2 linked regions of the Drosophila melanogaster genome follow. Changing the gene in region 1 together with any one later gene gives a genetic interaction. Each region holds a gene or a part of one and is shown on either strand. Other genes may lie near its edges.

What was found. A genetic interaction does not mean that the proteins touch.
Region 2: of shtd (region 1) and CycH, changing one enhances a phenotype caused by changing the other (phenotypic enhancement), as found in Drosophila melanogaster (one study listed by BioGRID).

The regions. Positions count from the first base shown.
Region 1 is NC_004354.4:15,454,757-15,466,322, forward strand, and holds shtd (shattered), read right to left. Parts: upstream 7,686-11,566; 5' UTR 7,580-7,685; coding exon 6,532-7,579; intron 6,472-6,531; coding exon 6,348-6,471; intron 6,290-6,347; coding exon 6,128-6,289; intron 6,070-6,127; coding exon 4,851-6,069; intron 4,792-4,850; coding exon 2,747-4,791; intron 2,688-2,746; coding exon 2,253-2,687; intron 2,189-2,252; coding exon 1,606-2,188; intron 1,547-1,605; coding exon 1,070-1,546; 3' UTR 788-1,069; downstream 1-787. Other genes in the region: CG11655 (uncharacterized protein), read left to right, coding at 218-547; CG6294 (uncharacterized protein), read left to right, coding at 8,072-9,652; CG6299 (uncharacterized protein), read left to right, coding at 11,102-11,237, 11,313-11,368, 11,463-11,566.
Region 2 is NT_037436.4:21,818,906-21,825,491, reverse strand, and holds CycH (cyclin H), read right to left. Parts: upstream 3,496-6,586; 5' UTR 3,487-3,495; coding exon 3,173-3,486; intron 3,097-3,172; coding exon 2,895-3,096; intron 2,836-2,894; coding exon 2,607-2,835; intron 2,552-2,606; coding exon 2,440-2,551; intron 2,382-2,439; coding exon 2,264-2,381; 3' UTR 2,183-2,263; downstream 1-2,182. Other genes in the region: eIF2A (eukaryotic translation initiation factor 2A), read right to left, coding at 1-242, 415-454; CG7407 (uncharacterized protein), read right to left, coding at 1,392-1,766, 1,829-1,960.

The sequences.
Region 1 (11,566 bases):
ATTAACTACAATTTATCCAACCAGTTTTTTTGAAAGTGTTAAAAGATTGGAAGCACTTCTGGTTTATCAACATAAACTATCGTGAATAGTCCATAAATAATAAAAATAATAAACAGCAAGATAAACCTGTTTTGGAAAACAACGTTTAAAAACGTTTAAAGAAAAAGGTTAAATGTAAATGTTATTTTTCTTAATATGTTAATATAATCCTTTCCAGATCGTCGTCGCTGGCATGGCTCTGCCTGGTCTGGGCTACATCTTCGCCTTCCTGGCAGCCAAGCTGCTGCACCAAAATGCAGCCGACGCCCTGACCATCGCCATCGAGACGGGCATCCAGAACACGGGCATCGCCATCTTCCTGCTGACGACCACGCTGGAATCGCCGGAGGCGGACATCACCACGGTGGTGCCCGTATCGGTGGCCGTGATGACGCCGCTGCCCCTGCTGGGCATTTATCTGTACAACCGGTGCTGGGGCAACAAGCGAATTAGTGAGGCCAGCGCCACCGCCTCCGAAGCGGAGCGGATAGCTGGGGCGATACATTAGCATTACCATGGCTATATAGCATGGCTATAGCACATAGTTTCTTTGTACATATTCGTTATTTTGATAACCTATACATCGTGCTAGCGCACGTAGACAAGGCTGAGATAGATGCTGGTTAAATTTGGGACCAAGGAATGCCGCAAATCTCAAGCGTATTATACTCCAGAATTTCACCTAACACCTAAGACGAACCCAAACTTATTGGGATAATTATTTTTTTTACAATAAAATTAACCTATTAATTTTGCAAGCGTTATGGGCTATTTATTTGTAAATATATTTTATACAGTTTTTGTGCTATCGTTAAATCGTTAAACATTAAGGAACATGCATTTAAATATTCATATCCAAAACGTTTCGACGTGATTGTATAACAATATAATTTCAAGAGTTGGGCAGCAAACTTTTATGCAAAGTTTCGATTATAAGTGGCGGCGAAATTTTGAAATAATGTGCAATAATATTATTTAGAAATGAATGTACAGTAATATGGGTCTAGCAAAAAAGAATTTCCATCGATCATCACTGGTCACCCATGGTGTACGCCAGAAGGGCTGCCTCATCCAGAGTCACCACTTCGGTGGCCAGTGACTGTAGGATCTTCATTAGGCCAAATATGGTGTGCGCGCCGAGATTCAGCCGGCGGAATTCGTATAAAAGACGCATATAGTTAACTGTGCCCGTGCTCAAGTCCACTCCATTCAACATATTCGGCAACAGATTGTAGTAATTGATCACGCAGAAGGCTCGCTGCAAGTCCGGTCCACTGACTGTGGTCACATAGCTGGGATCCAGACGCCTTCGGCTGAGGAACTCGCGCAGCGGTAAGCACAACTCGCGCGTCGAGTCCTCCATTTCCTGCTTGAAGAGCTCTTGCATCATTTGGATAAGCTCCACGGAGATGAGCGGATGCTCGGACTCCTGGCTGCGACTCAAATAGGCATCGATGAGCTTCATCTGCCACACATCGATGTTGTTCGGCATGGACTTGGTTACGTGCTAAAAACAAAGAACGTTACATTCGCGGTCAAATTATGCAAGTGAATGGATGCACTTACATCGTATAGGGTTAGGTAAACCGGCAGGAAATGCATGCGATCCTTGACCACGGCATTGTAGAATAGCAGCATCACCTGGTGCCGCTTCATCAGCTCCGGGGGACTCAAATCCGTGCCTTTGGTGTCCAGGCAGCGACTGAGGAACTGCTTCACCATACGTTCGCTGGCAAACTGCTGCAGGTCGTTCATATCGATCTGCCAACAGATGCTCTGTTCCATCGTCAATGTTTGGGCCAGCATGCTCTTCAGCCTGTCCGGGTCCTCCAAGTGGGAAAGGCAGCCCGTTCGCTTCTTAATATCAATCGGTGCACTCATCTCCAGCGCCTTTTCCAGCTGATCCCAGTTGCGCGATCGCTCGAAGCACACTGGCCAATAGTTCTCGTCGTCCACCACCACCTGCTGCAGGGTGCTCAGCACTGGCAGGATGCAGGGAGCGATGGGCAGGCGGCGCAGCTCGGTGGCACCCACCTCCAACACGGATATGTTGGCCAGGCACAGCTTATTGGTGTCAATGTCCCGGGGAAGGAACAGGCGCGGTTCCACAGCCAGTACATAGAGATGTCTCAGCGCTTGCAGATGGTATCTTAAAATGTAAATCCATGCGGTGAAGTGTGCTAACACATTGCTGCAAATATATTAATCCTTACCGATTGTCGTTGCTGTGTATGGGAAACTTGGGGAAGAAGGCGCAGACCAGTGCAGCAATCGACTCCGGTGTCTGGGAAATGGTGAAGCGACCCGCGCCGAGGAATAGCAGGCCAAGCGACATGTGTATGGCCATGTGAGAGCCGTAGGTTATGTGCGGATATTGTGGTCCCACTCGCGACCTGAGAAACCGAATTATGCGAAGAATTTCGCAGTTGCCGGAGCCGGCGAACACCAACGAGATCGAGATGAGCAGCACCATCAGGCAGCTCTCCACAGTGGTGCGACCGGCACATTCGCCCATCGGCCTGCTGGGGAAGCGAAGGAAATCCTTTATCACCGACCGCAGCGTGGCAAAGGCCACCAGATTCTCAGTGCCGGCGTACTTGAGACCAATGCAGAAGGCAGCTCCAGCCATGATATTGCAATAGGCTTGCCTGGACAAGAGTATATAATTCGTATCTAATTACTTTGACATTCAACTTCAGTTACTCACGAGATGGCCTCGTAGTCCACGTCATAGTCCTCGGGTGCATACTCATTTTCGTAGAACGGGAGTTTTAGGTGAGCTCGGAGTGCTCGCGGAAACTGTGCCTGGAACCACGCGTTGTCCGGCCGGACATCCTGCCATAGGATGAGGCCCCGGGAAATTGTGCGCAGCAGAAGGAAGTCAGGCCGCACCATGTCCAGTAGATACCGCGAATCCGGCGGCTGCATCCATTCGGCAATAGCTGCGTTCCCCGAGTTGAAGAACATAAGTCCCAATGCGAGCGTTGCACCCGGAGCAGTGACATCTATGTTGACGGTATCGCCTTCACGAACTTGGAACGAGGCTAGTCGGTATTTCTCCTTCTGGGAACCGCCGATGGGTCTCTTCACTCCACCGACCATGTAGTAGTGCAGGGTATCCGGCAGTTGGAGGTCCCTTAGGCCCGCCGGCGATTCACCCTGACCGAGGGTAACCAATCCGAGGGATAGACCTGCTGTCATGGCATACGATTCGCGCTCAATGCTGTTCTCCATCTCAGGGCCTGGAGGACGGCCAATCTCCTGGAGCAGCACCTCGGCTATGTGGCGCTTAGCTGATCCTTGATAGAGCAAACCGACGCCCATTATAGCAGCCACCTGTGTGCTTTGCGGTATATCCAACTCCATGGCGGTGGCTGGCAGCAGTGCCTCCAAGTGAACGCTCAACAACTTTGTGGTTTTCGTATCCATGGTGCCGCGATGGGCAGCGGAAATGCCCAGCAGCAGACCAACGTTGGTCATCTCATCGCATTTAACCAAATACTTATAGACACTCATGAAGGACAGCGTCTTTAGGTGACCATTCAAGCCCAGGGCCATGAGGAAACCAGCGTGCTCCAGGGCATTATGCGAATGCGTTTTGGGCTTGTTGTAGACAATCCAATTGGAGTCTATGTCCTGAGCCTGGGGTGAGATCTTCAGGCCAGTGGCCACGCCATTGTGAAACGATGGCCACATTTGCATATTCGCTGGGAATTCGATCTGCTGCATTTCGATGGTGGTGCCCTTCAGCGGCTCCTTGCCCAACAGGCACAATTTGGGCATGGTCAAGCTTTCGCTGGGCCGCGGCAACATCGTTCTCAGGGTGAACATACCTCTGCCCACGGGCAGTGTCATTGTGCGCGAACATAGTGCAAACAGTTGCTTCTCCTGCTCCTCAATGAATTCGTGATCGCTGGTTCCCGGTGCCTGTTGCACTTCAATGACCACCGGTTCCGAGCTGTTAAGCAGACGGCGCACTTCATCCACCCGCATGTCATCGGGAAAACGCAGACGCAGTAGTTTTGTGTCCATGTTGTCCATGTCGTCGCGGCGCAATTGGGCCGGTGAATCAGTTTCTGATCCCCCGGTCGGCGGACACCTCGCTGACAGTGAATCTTCCTTGTAGACCCGGCCACAATGCGGTTGCCCAGTGCTCGTTTCGAGGAACGGCAGTTGAGCGTGGGCCGCCAATTCTGGACGCAGGATAAGTTCATAGGTGGCCATGCTGCAGCCCATGGGCGGCGAGAGGCGAGCCTCCTCCAGTGCCTCCGCTACAATCAGATGCACTGCCGCCGGGAATCTTTCAATGTCTCGCCGTGTCAAGCGCATGGCCAGAAGTAGCTGTAACATCTGATGGCTACGCGGAGCATCCGCCGTGATATTACGCTTAGAGCGCCGCGTAAAGTTGGCCTGAACGGCGCCGGGGATCTCAAGCAGCTGCCACCAGTAATTCAGACGCTCATGCCCATGAGTCACCAGCGATACGAGCTGCAGTAAAATGCGACTTCTCTCGTTAACGCACTCCAAGAAGGTGTAAGGCATCACCTCCTCCTCGCCGACAATAATGTGCTCGAGTTGGGCAAACACACTGGGTGCCGGAACCCTCAGAAGCTCCTGGTGCAGCATCATAGCTCCGTGCTCAGCTCCCAGCAACGAGAGCTTGCCCGTACGATTCGAGAGTTCCGGAAAGTCTAGTATGTAGTGCAGCACATAACTTTCCAGCTGCATATCGATGGCCAGCTGGTGTAGGAACTGGAACGAGGAGATGGTGTTAGAAAACCACTAATGGATCTATTAAATGATTCACCTACCGTTGCCAGATATGGAAGCGCTCCATAAAAGTCAGCGTCCAGTTTGAGATCCTCGTACAGTAAATGCAGGCTGAAGAAGATGGCGGGAATCATTCGGAAGAGCAGCGCACCGATGTTCACGCTGTAGCTGTGGCCATCGGCTCCGCAGGGAGCCAGTGTCGTCTGGAGCAGCAGGAACTCCCAGTCGTCGTCCGTGAAATCATCGCAATCATTGTATATTCGCCGTTTCTTCGGCTCATCCTGGCCACCCAGTGTAGAATTGGAACTGCAACTAGAACCGTCACTCGATTCCGTCGCAGTAGCGCCGCCTCCAAATTGAGTGTGCAGCGGTGGCGTGGCACATCTAGCGTAGTTCTCGCCCGCATCCACATCCGGTGCAGCAGTCAGACCCATTAGGGCGAGCAGTGTGGAGCGGAATAGCAGCCATTCCTGCTCTATGGAGTAATTCCTCGATCCCGGCGGATTCCTGTCGCTATACCAACGGATAACAAAGTCCAGGAACTGGGTCGGACTTAGAACCTGCCGTAGCGTAGCCACACATCTGGTGAGCAATCGTGTATCATTTAGAAATGGCAGCGCTATTCTGAGCATTCTGCCCGTGGCATAAACCAAAGTCAATCGATTTCCCGCCGGATCTCTCAGGGATTTGCAGACATTGTGCGCCTGCCGCTGTGTGTAGGACACCGGCTGCGGTTGGATGGGCGACAGCATGTGCAGCTCCTCTTCGAAGGCAGCCACATCCCCCGGCGCTTTTGTGGGCAGTAGGCTGCTCCTTCGCACCTCCACGAAAGAACTGCTGCCGGACGGAATGCCGCTTGCTGGTCCAGCAGCTGCCATTGGTGTTTTAACGTGAGACGGAGCGGGCGAAGCCGACGGAGATGGGGCAGCAGTCATGGGCGTTACCAGCGGTGTGGGAATGGAGGTAGGCGCCAAAAACGGCGTAATGTGCACCTTGGATATGAGCACGGTGCCTGTGTATAGAAGTAAGCTGCCACTCGGATCGAGAACGGCAATCATGTGCATTCTCTTCAGACCCACTGCATCTTTCGCGGCCAGCGTGGAGGCGTGCGTGGAGAGCTGCACCTCGCCCCTTCCATAGCCAGTGAGGCGGACCAACTGAAGGCGGCACGAGCGGGCCAGCAGGTAGCACAAAAAGGTCTGACCCACTAAATCCGTGTGGATAAATGCTCGGGTGGCCATCTCGCAGAACTCTCGTTGACTAAGGAAGACAGACAATTTTAGTACTGAAAGTGGCATCTTTGGTGGCATTTACTGACGTTCCGTAGATGTTCTCCGTCCAGATGTGCTCCATACACAATTCCGGCTCAATGGGTTTTGCCGGCTTCACGTGCGTTAACTTGCGCATATCCTTCACGGACATGGACTGCTGGCTAATACTGCTCTGCAGTTGGCTCAATGGAGTGCCTAGGGAGGCGCGACTAAACGGAAGAAGAGGCAATAATAAGTAAGTGATGGATGACAGCGACTTAAACGTACTTCGACTGTCCAAGAACTCCGCTGAACGACTGCGACTGGCTGAGTCCGAACTGGTTGCCCATGCCGGTGGTGGTGGTGTTGATATTCCTGGCCGCAAACGATAAGTTCGTTGCTTTTGGCGTGGCTAGCAATGGATAGACAGTGAATAAATCGTATGCCCTTGCTGGCATTGCTATCAACTCACCTCCAGTTTGCTTGGTGGAACTGAAACTATTGCCTGCCATCGACCTGGGTCCCATTAGCGTCTGTCCCAGCTCCATCTGCTGACTCACATAGTTGATCTCTTCGGGCGTTACCTTACGCAGGCGTGCAACGAAATGCTTAAAGAACTTGGCATCGTACAGCATCACCAAATCCGATTCCTCGGTGGTGAAGACCACAGTGTATTCCGGTTCGGTCATGTAGCCGGTGGAGCCGGTGGCCGTCTTCAGGACGACGGGACAGGCCTCGTGCAGCGGATGCGACATAGAGAAGAGACGCGGCATCGGAATGGACATGTGCGATATCAAGGCATTGCTGGAGTCCTTTTCCAGCAGCAGGCCATACTTGGTTTGCCACAGCTGTGACACGGGAAAGTCCAGATTGGCTAGAAAGTCCTCGCCGTTGCTGCAGTACACCCGCAGGGCGTCCTGATCCATCACACAGATGGCGGTCAAATGGTCGTCATCCGGGTGGACAGCCGCCTTCAGCTGCGCCAGTCGCCCGCGCACAAAACTGCGATTCAGGAAGCAGGCGAAGCGCACCGGCGTATCGGTGGTGAAACACATGCGCCGGTACACCCCATTGTCGGTATCGTCGTCATCGTTGACGCCTTGTGTCCACACCACCGTGTTCCGGTTCACATAGAGCTCCTCCTCGTTGTTAACCATATAGTCGCACATTGGCTCCACGCGCCGCACCAGCGGTGGATTGAGCAGTCTGTTCGGCAGCGAGGTGGCCTGGAGACCACATCGCTTTGTCCGCTCGGTCAACTTGCGTCGCAGGGCGGCGCGCTCCTCGGATGCCTCGTAGTCATCGTACAGCTCTCGGACTGTCCACGACTCCTGTCCGCCCGAAGGGCAGTCCTCACCGGCCGACGAGATGTTCACATTCTGGAGGCGCTGCAGCAGCAGATGCTCCGTGGTGGGCAGTTGGTGGCGCGCCATTGGCTGGTCATGTGGGCCCGGATGCTCCGCGGACGTCTGACGGCCGCGCGGCACAAACTCCAGCGGCGGTTCTGCGACGGCGATCATGTCCGCGTCGCCAGGTGCATCCAGAATTGCGATTGACAAGTTAATTGATTACAATTTATTATTAGCAAGGAATTTGCACAATTATTTAAAAACTGTCATCGAAATCGGGTGGCGATAAGTGCCTGATTCTATCGGGCCTGCAGTACTTCGATATGAGGAGAGCTATCAAAAGGCCGATAACGATAGGAAGACCAGAATCGCGACAAACAAAACAATTACCAGTATATGCCATAAAGTCATACCGAAAGAAATGCTAGAGAAATGGCTTTGCCTATTTTTAAAAATATAAAATATAACAGTTCGATTGCTTTTACTATCGATTACAATGCCGGTTGGTCACTTGTAGCAACCAGCTTTGGTCCGCTGGCGTACCGGTTATTTTCCCGGTCTGGCAGCACAGTGCGTTTGTTCGGCTTTTCCAATTGGATTTCGGAGTCTGGATTTTGATTTGAGCAGACAAACGGAACCGGAAATCCTGGCCAGAATTTGGCAATGAGCAGCGGCACCGCCGGCTGCAAGCGCGCGCACAGCATCGAGGTTGAGCAGCCGCTGACGTCGGAGCGCCTGGAGCACAGCCTGCTGTTGGTCAAGGGACGCCTGGTGCCCAAGTGTTCCACGGCGCGTCAACTGAAGGCGATCCTCGATCTGCCCGAGCACCTGTCCCAGGAGCAGCTCACCCAGCTGTCGGCCGGCGGCGAGTTTAAGCTCCTATTCGACTTGGAACAAGCGAATCGCGAGGAGGAGGAGGAGGAGAGCGCCTGCCTCCTGGAGTTGCGATCCTGCACGGCCACCCGAACGATTAGCTTCAGTTACCGGCCCCGCCGCAGCTCCTACCGGGTGCAGCCGCTCTACCTGCTCTGTCAGGACGAGGAGAAGACGCTGGCGCAGCAGCACGAGGTGCACTCCCTCATCGATCTTAATTTGCGGCTGGTGCAGTCCATCTACGCGCACAAACTGCACGCGGCGGGCTTTCCCAACCGCACCTTCACGCTCAACGGCAAGTGCTGCGCCTTCCGCAGCCAGTTGACCCGGAAACAGGCGCTGGCGAAGAGCGAGGACGAGCTGTGGCAGCATTTCGCCGGCGAGATTATCGCCTGTCCGCAGTGGGGCCACCAGTTGCTCCTCAAGTTCGTCGCCTTTGTGGGCTGCACGCGCTACGACGGCGACGCAGTGGTGGCCAGCGGTGACTCCTCGTACGCCAACATCCGGCGGCATCTCAAGGGACACGCAGCACTCGGTGGCGGCGGCTTGGCGCTCTTTGGTAGTGCCCACTTCTACGCGTGGCCCACGAGCTTCGCGGAGATCGGCGACTGTGTGCGCAGCGCCCAGCGGGTGGACATCGCCCGCCTGCCGGACGAGAGCAACTATCGGCGGACGTACGGCGGCGTCTATGCCAGCACCTTGGGCGCCGTGTGCCACGAACTGGGCCACTGCTTCGATCTGGGCCACACCAGCGAGGGTGTGATGGGCCAGGGCTTCGACTACTTGAATCGCGTGTTGACCGTGGACCAGCCCACGGAGCATTTGCCGCAGCGAATTGTGGACGCCCGCAGGGGCTCACTTGCCAATACTAATTCATCCGAGGGCGGATCATCCTCATCCAGCTCCACCTCCTCCTCCTCCTCGTCCGCCGGCAGTGGCGCCGCAACGGGCAACCGCGCCCGCCTCACCAAACTGAAATTGCAGCCAAGCAGCCAACTGCTGGACAACTACCACAACCAGCGACGCCACGATAGCTTCTATTTTGCACGCAACTGTGCCGTAATCCTGGCCCATCATCGCTGGCTGAATTTGGAGCTGGAGCAGACGGCTGCCGTCGACTTTGAGGCGGCCAGCATACAATTGAACCGCGACACGCGTGAGATTCGCTCCAGCAGGCCCATCCGACTGATCGAGCTGCGCTGCAACCAGAACAGCCTGGTGGCCCACTACGAGGAGTTCGAGGAGCCGTATGTGCACCGCTTCCAGCTGCCCGCTTCGCTGTGGCATCTCCTCGCGGAGCAGTGCACCCACTACGTTTTCGTGCTGACCACCAGTGGCGACACCAAGCGGCTATCCTGCGATTCCTCCTAGGATTGCCGCAGCGCGAGGTGAGTGGCCCACGTCCTTGGCATAGTTAACTGGATGAAAGGGGCAACTTTTTGCAATGCTTGCCATATATGAAAATATTATCCCGAATGCGATTTCAATGTATATATAATATAATCGCTTTGTAATTAGTGAATGTACTTAAAAATACTCGACAAGAGTAGTAGAAATAATTTAAGAAAGATATCATTCTGTTTGAATGCAACTCAATTAGCCAGCAATCAATTAAGCTGATAAAGATTCCGTCGAAAGATTCCCCCGCCACGCAATCAAATTGCTTGATAAAACCGAAACCCAGAGCCCAGCCATCATCGGTGAGTCATTGCTGTTCCATTGCCAGATTCCATACGCGGTGACGTGCACCCTGGTTGGTTGGTTCCACAAAATCAAACTGTCTGACTTTCGCAGCGCTGGCGAAAACAAAATAGGGAAAACAATTCAGATTAACATGGGAATGCCATAATTTTATTTATTGATAAGCCTTATCGCTGTTACTATGATTCGAAAATGCGTGATAGTTAAAAGTTTGTCTAAAAGTTTTTATTTGCTAACTTGCAAATTGGCATTTGAAAACGGTTGCCATTTGAAATACATATATCTTTTTAAAACGCTTTTTTTTTTAGCTAGAAAAACGGTTTTTAACTATTTTTAGTTTTTAGTATTTAGTTTACTAAATACTTTTGGTATTTACACGCATTGCGGTTAGAAAAACGTTAGCGTATTGAGTAAATTATTGTTTGATTCGAGTTTTTGAATCTAAAACACTTTCAAATACTTTAATTTAGCAATTGAAAGTGTTGAAATTGTTAAAGTAACTTAGAATTGTAAGTAACTTTGTCTATTTCAATCTCAGTTCAAAACTTCTCAATCTAAAGCTGTAATTTTTGTAAGTTCCTGCTGTCCGATAATTTGAGACATAAAATCGCGTTTTATCCCATGGTGCAAACCTGAAATCAGGTTTTCGTACTAAGCCAACTCGGATTGGATCGAAGTGTGCGGAACTCGAGCTCTCTGGCGGCTCTCCAAGATCCAAGACGCCAGCTGTGAGGTGGGTTAAAGCTCTGACCCCTTGCACCACCCCCCCCGTAACCCGTTCCCCCCGGCGAGTGGGGAAACGTAGTCGCGCACGGCACTTTGCTCAGCCCAGTTTCCATTATCGCCGCGTCGGAGGAGAAGGCCGTCCGATGGCGAGCTCAAGTGTCGCACGAGTGTAGAGTAGTATTAGAATTCCGAGCGCAGCTCGTTCGATAAGATAAACAGCCGATATTGGTGCCCGAAACTAAGCAGGTGGCCAACTTCGCTTGCAGATTTACCAATCAGTCGGCGTTCGAAGCGCATTGGATACGGAACCAATCGGAGAGCTAAGGAGAGCAGAAACGCAGCAGAGCAGAGCAGGAAATTAGAGGACGGAACAGGACAGAACAGGAGCACACGATGGCAGCCAGCGAGGGATCGGCGGCGCGCATTCAGTTCAAGGCGCTGCGCGGATTTCCGGCCATCGGCGATACCGCTGATAAGCTGGAGACACAGGCCTTTCTCGACGCCTCCAAGGAGATAGTAACCGTCATAGGTGATAACAGCGCACCCAAACCGAAGCCAATCAATTCAACTCACTGCTATCTATTTACCATTTTTCATTTTTCAGAGAGCTTCGGCAAACTATTCACACCCGTGATCAGCGACATGAACGGAAACATAAACGTAAGCTTTCCAAGATCTTTAAGATCTAACACGAAATACATACATATATATACATGTGTACATTCGTTTTCATTGCCGTTTATTGCCGTTTCAGAAACTGACGAAAGCCTACGGAGCGGATGTGGTCAAGTACCAGTATCTGGAGGATCTGATCGTGCTGAACGTGAACGTGGACGACTTTGCGGCCAACGCGCTGCT
Region 2 (6,586 bases), on another chromosome or scaffold:
TTGGAGGTAGAAGGCTTTCGGCCTGGGCAGCACGCATATCACTGGCCAGCTGGCTGCGCTGTCCCGGCTGGCCTGGAGCACCTTGACTTCCTGCCCGTTGGAGTAGGCGAAGTACCGGCCGTTGGAGCTGAAGCAGATCGAGCGCGAGCTCTTCGTCTCCTCGCGCGGCAGGTGGGGCTTGTGCTCGAAGGGCTGCTTGGAGCCCGCCGAGGACCACAATTCCACGGCCACGCTAGAGCGAACTGTTGATGAGAATCGAGAGGTGACCCCGATTAGCAGGTGGAAACACGAGGTCGCGCGGTTTTTCCAGTTTTTCCGCTAACCGGGCGGCCCAATCGGCTGCCTTCGATGCTCCAAGGAGTCGACGGCACCTCAGTGACCACCTGGCGGGGATTGCATCCGGGCTATACTCACTGGCAAGGGTAGGAACAACCAGATCCGCAGCTGCAGCCATTGTCTTCCAATCTCACACGCACACACACACAGGAACAAGCACGTCGGTGGTGTTGTTGCTGTTGTTTTTGTTGTCGTGTCGTCTGATGTACAATCAGTGTTGGTCAACGATTTCGTGCTTGAATTGGTCACACACGGTTGCCGTGTACGCGGTGTATCGATAAGCGATAGTAAACATGCATGGGCATTGGCGCCACAACGACACGTTTAAACATCAACCAAACCAAACCGAACGTATTTAGAACTCCAACAAAATATCTGCTCCACGTGAATTTAAAAACATTTTAGTACTAAAAAATTTGGAACAGAAACGCTAAGCATTTCGACTGCTCCAATCGAAGGTGTGCTGATGGAATCTATATGTTAGAACAATTATTTTCAAAAATCCAATCGCGGCATATAAAATATGAGCGGTTATTTTCGGATATTTGGCTAGGAAACGGTAGGAAATATTTAGAGTATATATTACATCTTAACACAGCTAAACATTCTTTATTGAACAAATAAATCCAAAGTTATATGAACACAATTTAAATCTAACCAACGAATTTGGCGATTAATTGTGTTTAAATCTATACACTTTCTGATCGCGAGTTTTTATCTTGTAACACGTTAAAATATATACATATATTCTTAATTCGAAAGCTGATTTAAGAGACTAAGAGCCGAACAGCCATTTACTACAAATCTAAATCAGATATTAATAACACCAGGAACTCACAAAATACATAGATCGAAGTGGAATACATATAATTTACATACAACTAAGATATTATATTCCGACATCATCGACTGATGAGATAGCTCTCTGACTAAAGACTTGCCCGCACTTAGTGGACCGTATGAGGCAACACCAAATCTTGGAATTTTAAACATTAAACTAATAGATCACACAAGTCTGTACATTCAGGTAGGGTGAGCCCAGGCTCGGCGCCACTTCAGCGATAGAGCCGCACCTGCTGCTTGAGATCCTGGTCGCTTATTCGGTCCTGGAGGTTCAATTCCGCCTCCTGTTTGCGCAGGAGCTCAAAGATGGCCGCCAGCTGCTCGCGCTCTATTCGGCGCTCCTCCTCGATTTGGCTGGGAGTCAGGGTCTTCTCCATCTTATGCTGGAGCCTCTTGGCCTTGAGCTGGCCCATCAGGTGGTTGTAGCTGTGCTCGGGCAGCTGTTCCTCGATTAGCTCAACTTCGCTTTCGGTGGAGTTCTCTTCGTAGGCCTCGTCATCGTCGGTTTCCTCCCCTTGCGGAGTCCGTGACTCGGAATCCTCCTCATCGCGCGGCTCGTCGGCCCCCAGGCCCTCGTCCTCCAGTTCCTGCAAGATAATGTAAGGAAATATTCCAGGAGACGTCTACTTCTTCCGGCAAAAACACCCACGCCTTTGTCCTTGAAGATGTTGGCGAAGTAGAAGGCGACCAAAACGCACAGCAGAAGGGTGACCAGCGCTACCGAGTAGTGGCCTGGTAGTCCAAGAAAGAGAACATCCAGCGAAGGCAGAAAATCCTGCATTTCGAACTCTTTTTGCTATTTGTTGTGACTGAGTTCACTATTCTTGTTTTTCTTGGGGCGCAGTGTGGCCGTTAGCTGCGAACGAAATATTGCCAAGCAGCGCTAAGCGGATTTTCAAAAGGTTTTTTTTTTAATATTTTATATATTGGAAAAGTGAAGTACCTAATCCAACTTTGTTTAGTAAACTAACACTAAACGCATACATTTTAACAATCAAGAAATGGTAAATTACAAAATGCTTTAATATCGATGAAATCCACGCAGTAGTAGATCATCACATCATTTAAATAAATATTCTTAAGTCTATTGGCTGATGTTCATAGCAGATGTGTCCGAGCTCACATCTGCAATGTGGAATGAGGCATCTTCGGCGGGCATGTCATCCTCATCGGTGTACAATCGGCGTAGGCGCTCCTTATAGCTTTTAAAGTATAAGGGTTATTAAATTCGGAATGCATGAACAAATTAGGGCGTCTTACAGTTCGCTATCAGGATTATTGGCTTGATTTCGGCACTTGTCCAACTTTTTCTCGATGGCCTTGACCTTCTCCCGATCGGGCTGCTGATATTGCTTCACCATTATGCGAATTTCTGTCGGGAAAAAGGCATGTAGGGCTGGGCGCACCATCTCACAGCACAAACTTACTTCGCACGGCATCTATGAGTCCGGGTAGCTTCTCCCTGGCGGAGACAAACAGAAGATCCGTCACATAGCTATCGAGATTCTCTTGCTCTCTGCTGGCCGCGTGGAGGACGGCAGCCAATGCAATTTGCGAAGGCGTATGCAGAAGACAGGCATCCGAGTAGTACGTGGAATCAATGAAACTATCAATATGTGGCCGCAGACGATCTGGATTCTGCATATTGCTGCGAGTCTGAAACAAACCAATATGAACGAAACAATCTGGAGAGCAAATGTGAATATATATCGCACTTTTATATCTATCAGGAAACCCTCGATGGGTCTGAACGGATTGTGTATGGTGAGGTAGTAGTTGAGCTGTCCAATCAGCAGTAATTCATTGGACAACACTATGTCGGTGGCCTTGTTCCTGTCGCCCTTGATGTTGTTTACGAACTGGTTGATGGACACGTTGAACTCCTCAACTTTGCAGGCAACGAACACGCATGTGGCTCTGAAAAGGTTTATACATTTTTAGAATGTTTTGCTTTTCAGCTGGGTGTTTGCTGCTCTCAGGTGAGCGTTCCTACAGAATCTCCTTGGGGTGATAGTCCATGGGGGAGTTGTTCAGATAGAACCGCTTGAAGTAGTGGAAGGCCGTGCCCACAACGCACTTGGGCATCGTCGGTTCGAAGCGGCGGCAGAAATCGAACAGGTAGATCTCGTACTGCTTCAGCAACAGGCGCTCCTCCGCCGACGTGAGAAAGTGCTCATTGAGGTCGCGACCCTGCGCCTCCTCCTCGTGCGACTCGATGTACTTGCTGTTCTGCTCCACGCGGAACTCCATGAGCTGGCCCTCATTGGCGAATGTCCAGGACCTCTTTTGCGAGCTCACAGGATACATCTTGCTCAGCTGCCGGCGAATTTATGCCGATTCGAAACTCAGACACCCTGCATGGTGTTACCGATTGCGGGACGGAGAAAAATACCAGTTGTGAAAAAATATTAGGGTGATTCGTACAATAGTCACTTTTATTTCATTGGAAATCAGAAGCGCAAGATTGGCAAAAATTGAGAACGTATAACTAACTGTATGGGCTATGATTTAATCAATAAGTGAACACGTTTTAATACAGCTACAAGTTCGAGTATAATTTTAGTAGGGAAAACATCATTTATTTTGGTTTTAGTTCTAAAATATTTATTAAATATAAATCAAAAATAACTTTTTATCAATCTTCTTGTATTAAAAATCTAGTTTCAAATTTAAATAACTACAATCATCTTTTTAGGCCCGAATACATTTCATACAGAATGCATTCCATTTTAAATATTTCATATTTCAAGAAAATTACCTATGCCCATTCAACGTACAAGTTATAGGAATAATAAATTAATAGTTATTAAAGCTGGATCAAAAATAAATTAAAGAGTTAAAGGAAACGAAGGCAGATGTTTAAAGTGACGTACTTATATGAACATACAGTATGTATGTATGTATATACAACAAAGTTGAATTTATGGACCCAGTTAACAGTTTCCTTTTTTCTTGGCCGAATTTCTGAACGCACGTGCTACGCATTTTTTAACTTTGAGGTGCCTGCAGCATCAGTCGGCTCAGAGTTGAATTAATATTGTTTTGCTTTTGTTTTTGCAATTGGGTCACTTAAATCTGCGGACGTGAAAACAGCGGAACAGTAGCGGGAATTACTCTTTCGTTTTTGAACGGCAATAATCCTTTAAATAATCGTTTCTGTACAATTATAGTTTCTTAATTCATTTTGTGAAATTAATCGTAAGAATACAATGGTTATCCCAGGATATAGCGTTTTTTGTTGGGAATACCTTTCAGAGAATATTTTGATTTTAGTCTGTAGTGTGCAACAGAGACATTCGTGACCATATAAAGGATATATATTCTTGATCAGTATCAGCAGCCGAGTTCACATACATATATCCGTTCGTCAGTTTCTACGCAAACAAGTCATTTAAATCTGAAGCAATCTGCTGGCAGTATGTATATTATATACTATTATAGCAAAGACACTAGAATTATTTGAGTGTCTTTGATTATAGTATGAATATTATATAAGATTGAACGGGACGGATCTGACCACTATATGATAAATCTGCTATAGGAATTATTACCTTCGCTGTATTTATTCATATGTATATGTATGACTACGTTTTGACTAACGTTTTATTATTCGTACCAGAAATGTGGCAAATTATACTTGACTTCCCTTTTTGGTTCTATAAACTTTAAAGAAATTTTTACCATTCGGAAATAAGATTGTGGCTAAGGGTATTCTTAATAGTGGTTAAACTAACTATATTTACTTTTACTTTAGGTGATGTAATATATATTGCATTAATTCTGTAGTATGCATTTATTTAACTGCGTTCTCCTTATTTTCCATATCATGCCCTAATTGGCAATAGTGCCTAAGTTGGCTCACAACTCTTAAAAGTCTTAATTTTGTATTTACTTGAGCTACCAAAAGACATTCAATTGCTTGGTAACTCCGAAGCCTAAAGATCAATCGAGTGTAAGGCATATCGAGTACTTTGTATGCAGGAGCTGCCTTCTGTGGCAATAAAATTGCAATTAATTTTTATTGACAACTCTGAACTCCTGTTGTATCGTCTGGTTGGTGATCTTTTCGCGACTTCTCAGTAATTTCACAAGGTAAAGAGTGTTTTTGTCTCGAACTGTAATGCTGCTAAACGGATCTTTCAGAGCATCTTTATTTGGCATCTTAACACAAATTGGCAACCAATTAAATTACTAATTATATATATATTTATTTTCATAATATTGATTTTACTTCTTACTCATGAGATCTACGATGCTAAATTAAGCCTTAGTTCAATGCTCTATGACAGAAATTATATGAAAGTGTGTTAAGTGAAATGTCATGATCCTTATTATTTGATATCCAACTCTGGCAATCGCAAGATTTTCATCTCACCGAATTCAGCACTTGTTAGGATATTTTATTAAACTCAATCCCCAAATGTGTGGCCCACTATTACAGCTTAGCCGCTAGCAATAACTGACTCGGGTTTGGGCCCAATTCCCTCCTACAGGCCAACTGGCTCAGTGGGAAGTTTATGCGCGTGCGCGACACACAGACAGACGATCTGGGATGAGATGGATGGCCGTCGGCGGGACTGACTGAATGCTTGACTGACTGCCTAACTGACCGACTGACGGACTGAGTGACTGACAGTCGGCTGGCCTCAGCTTATCGTCAGTTTCTAGTTACGGATACAAAAGGAAGCTCGGCGCTGGGCGTACTTAAAATTCAATTGAATCTTGAATTATTGCATTGAATTTCATTGTTTGTAAATGCTCGCCCGCTGAGTATGTATCGGATTGTAAACTGATTTCATTTTCTCCCTGTGCCATAGATTTATTTATTTTTTCATTTTATCGAATGCTTCAAGTTCAGCCGTCGTAAATCGACTCAAATGTTATGATTATTATTGGAGCAGGTATTGTATTACATAAATTTGGGTGGTCTCTGTTTTTCGACCGATCTAAGACGCTGCGATGGATTTCGTTTACCTTATCGTTATCCCTTCATGCCAGATGCTTTCCAGAGATCCGTAGATCTCTATCGATCTCTACGGAGCGACACCAATAAAACTCATTGCGAAAGTATCTGCAACAAGCATCTACACAAGTGGGTACTTGTATCTCGGCGCCCCACTCCCCATCACCGTGCATAAATGCATTTTAAAAGCATATTGAGCACGCGAGTCGATGTTTCATGCTCACGATCTCCAGTCTCCCATTTTCATCCCCCCGCCTTGGATCTTGGATTCCCTGCAATTCGCTGGGGGTATTATTCCTGCTTAGCAGCTACTGTTTTCGCAGCTAATTGTGCGTGTGTCGTGCGATTATTCAGCTTTGTATCTCACTTTGTGCGCTGCTCTCGGGGGGCGTGTTCCCAAAGATACTCTCCCGAACACACCGATGTAGACGTACACCTATCGGA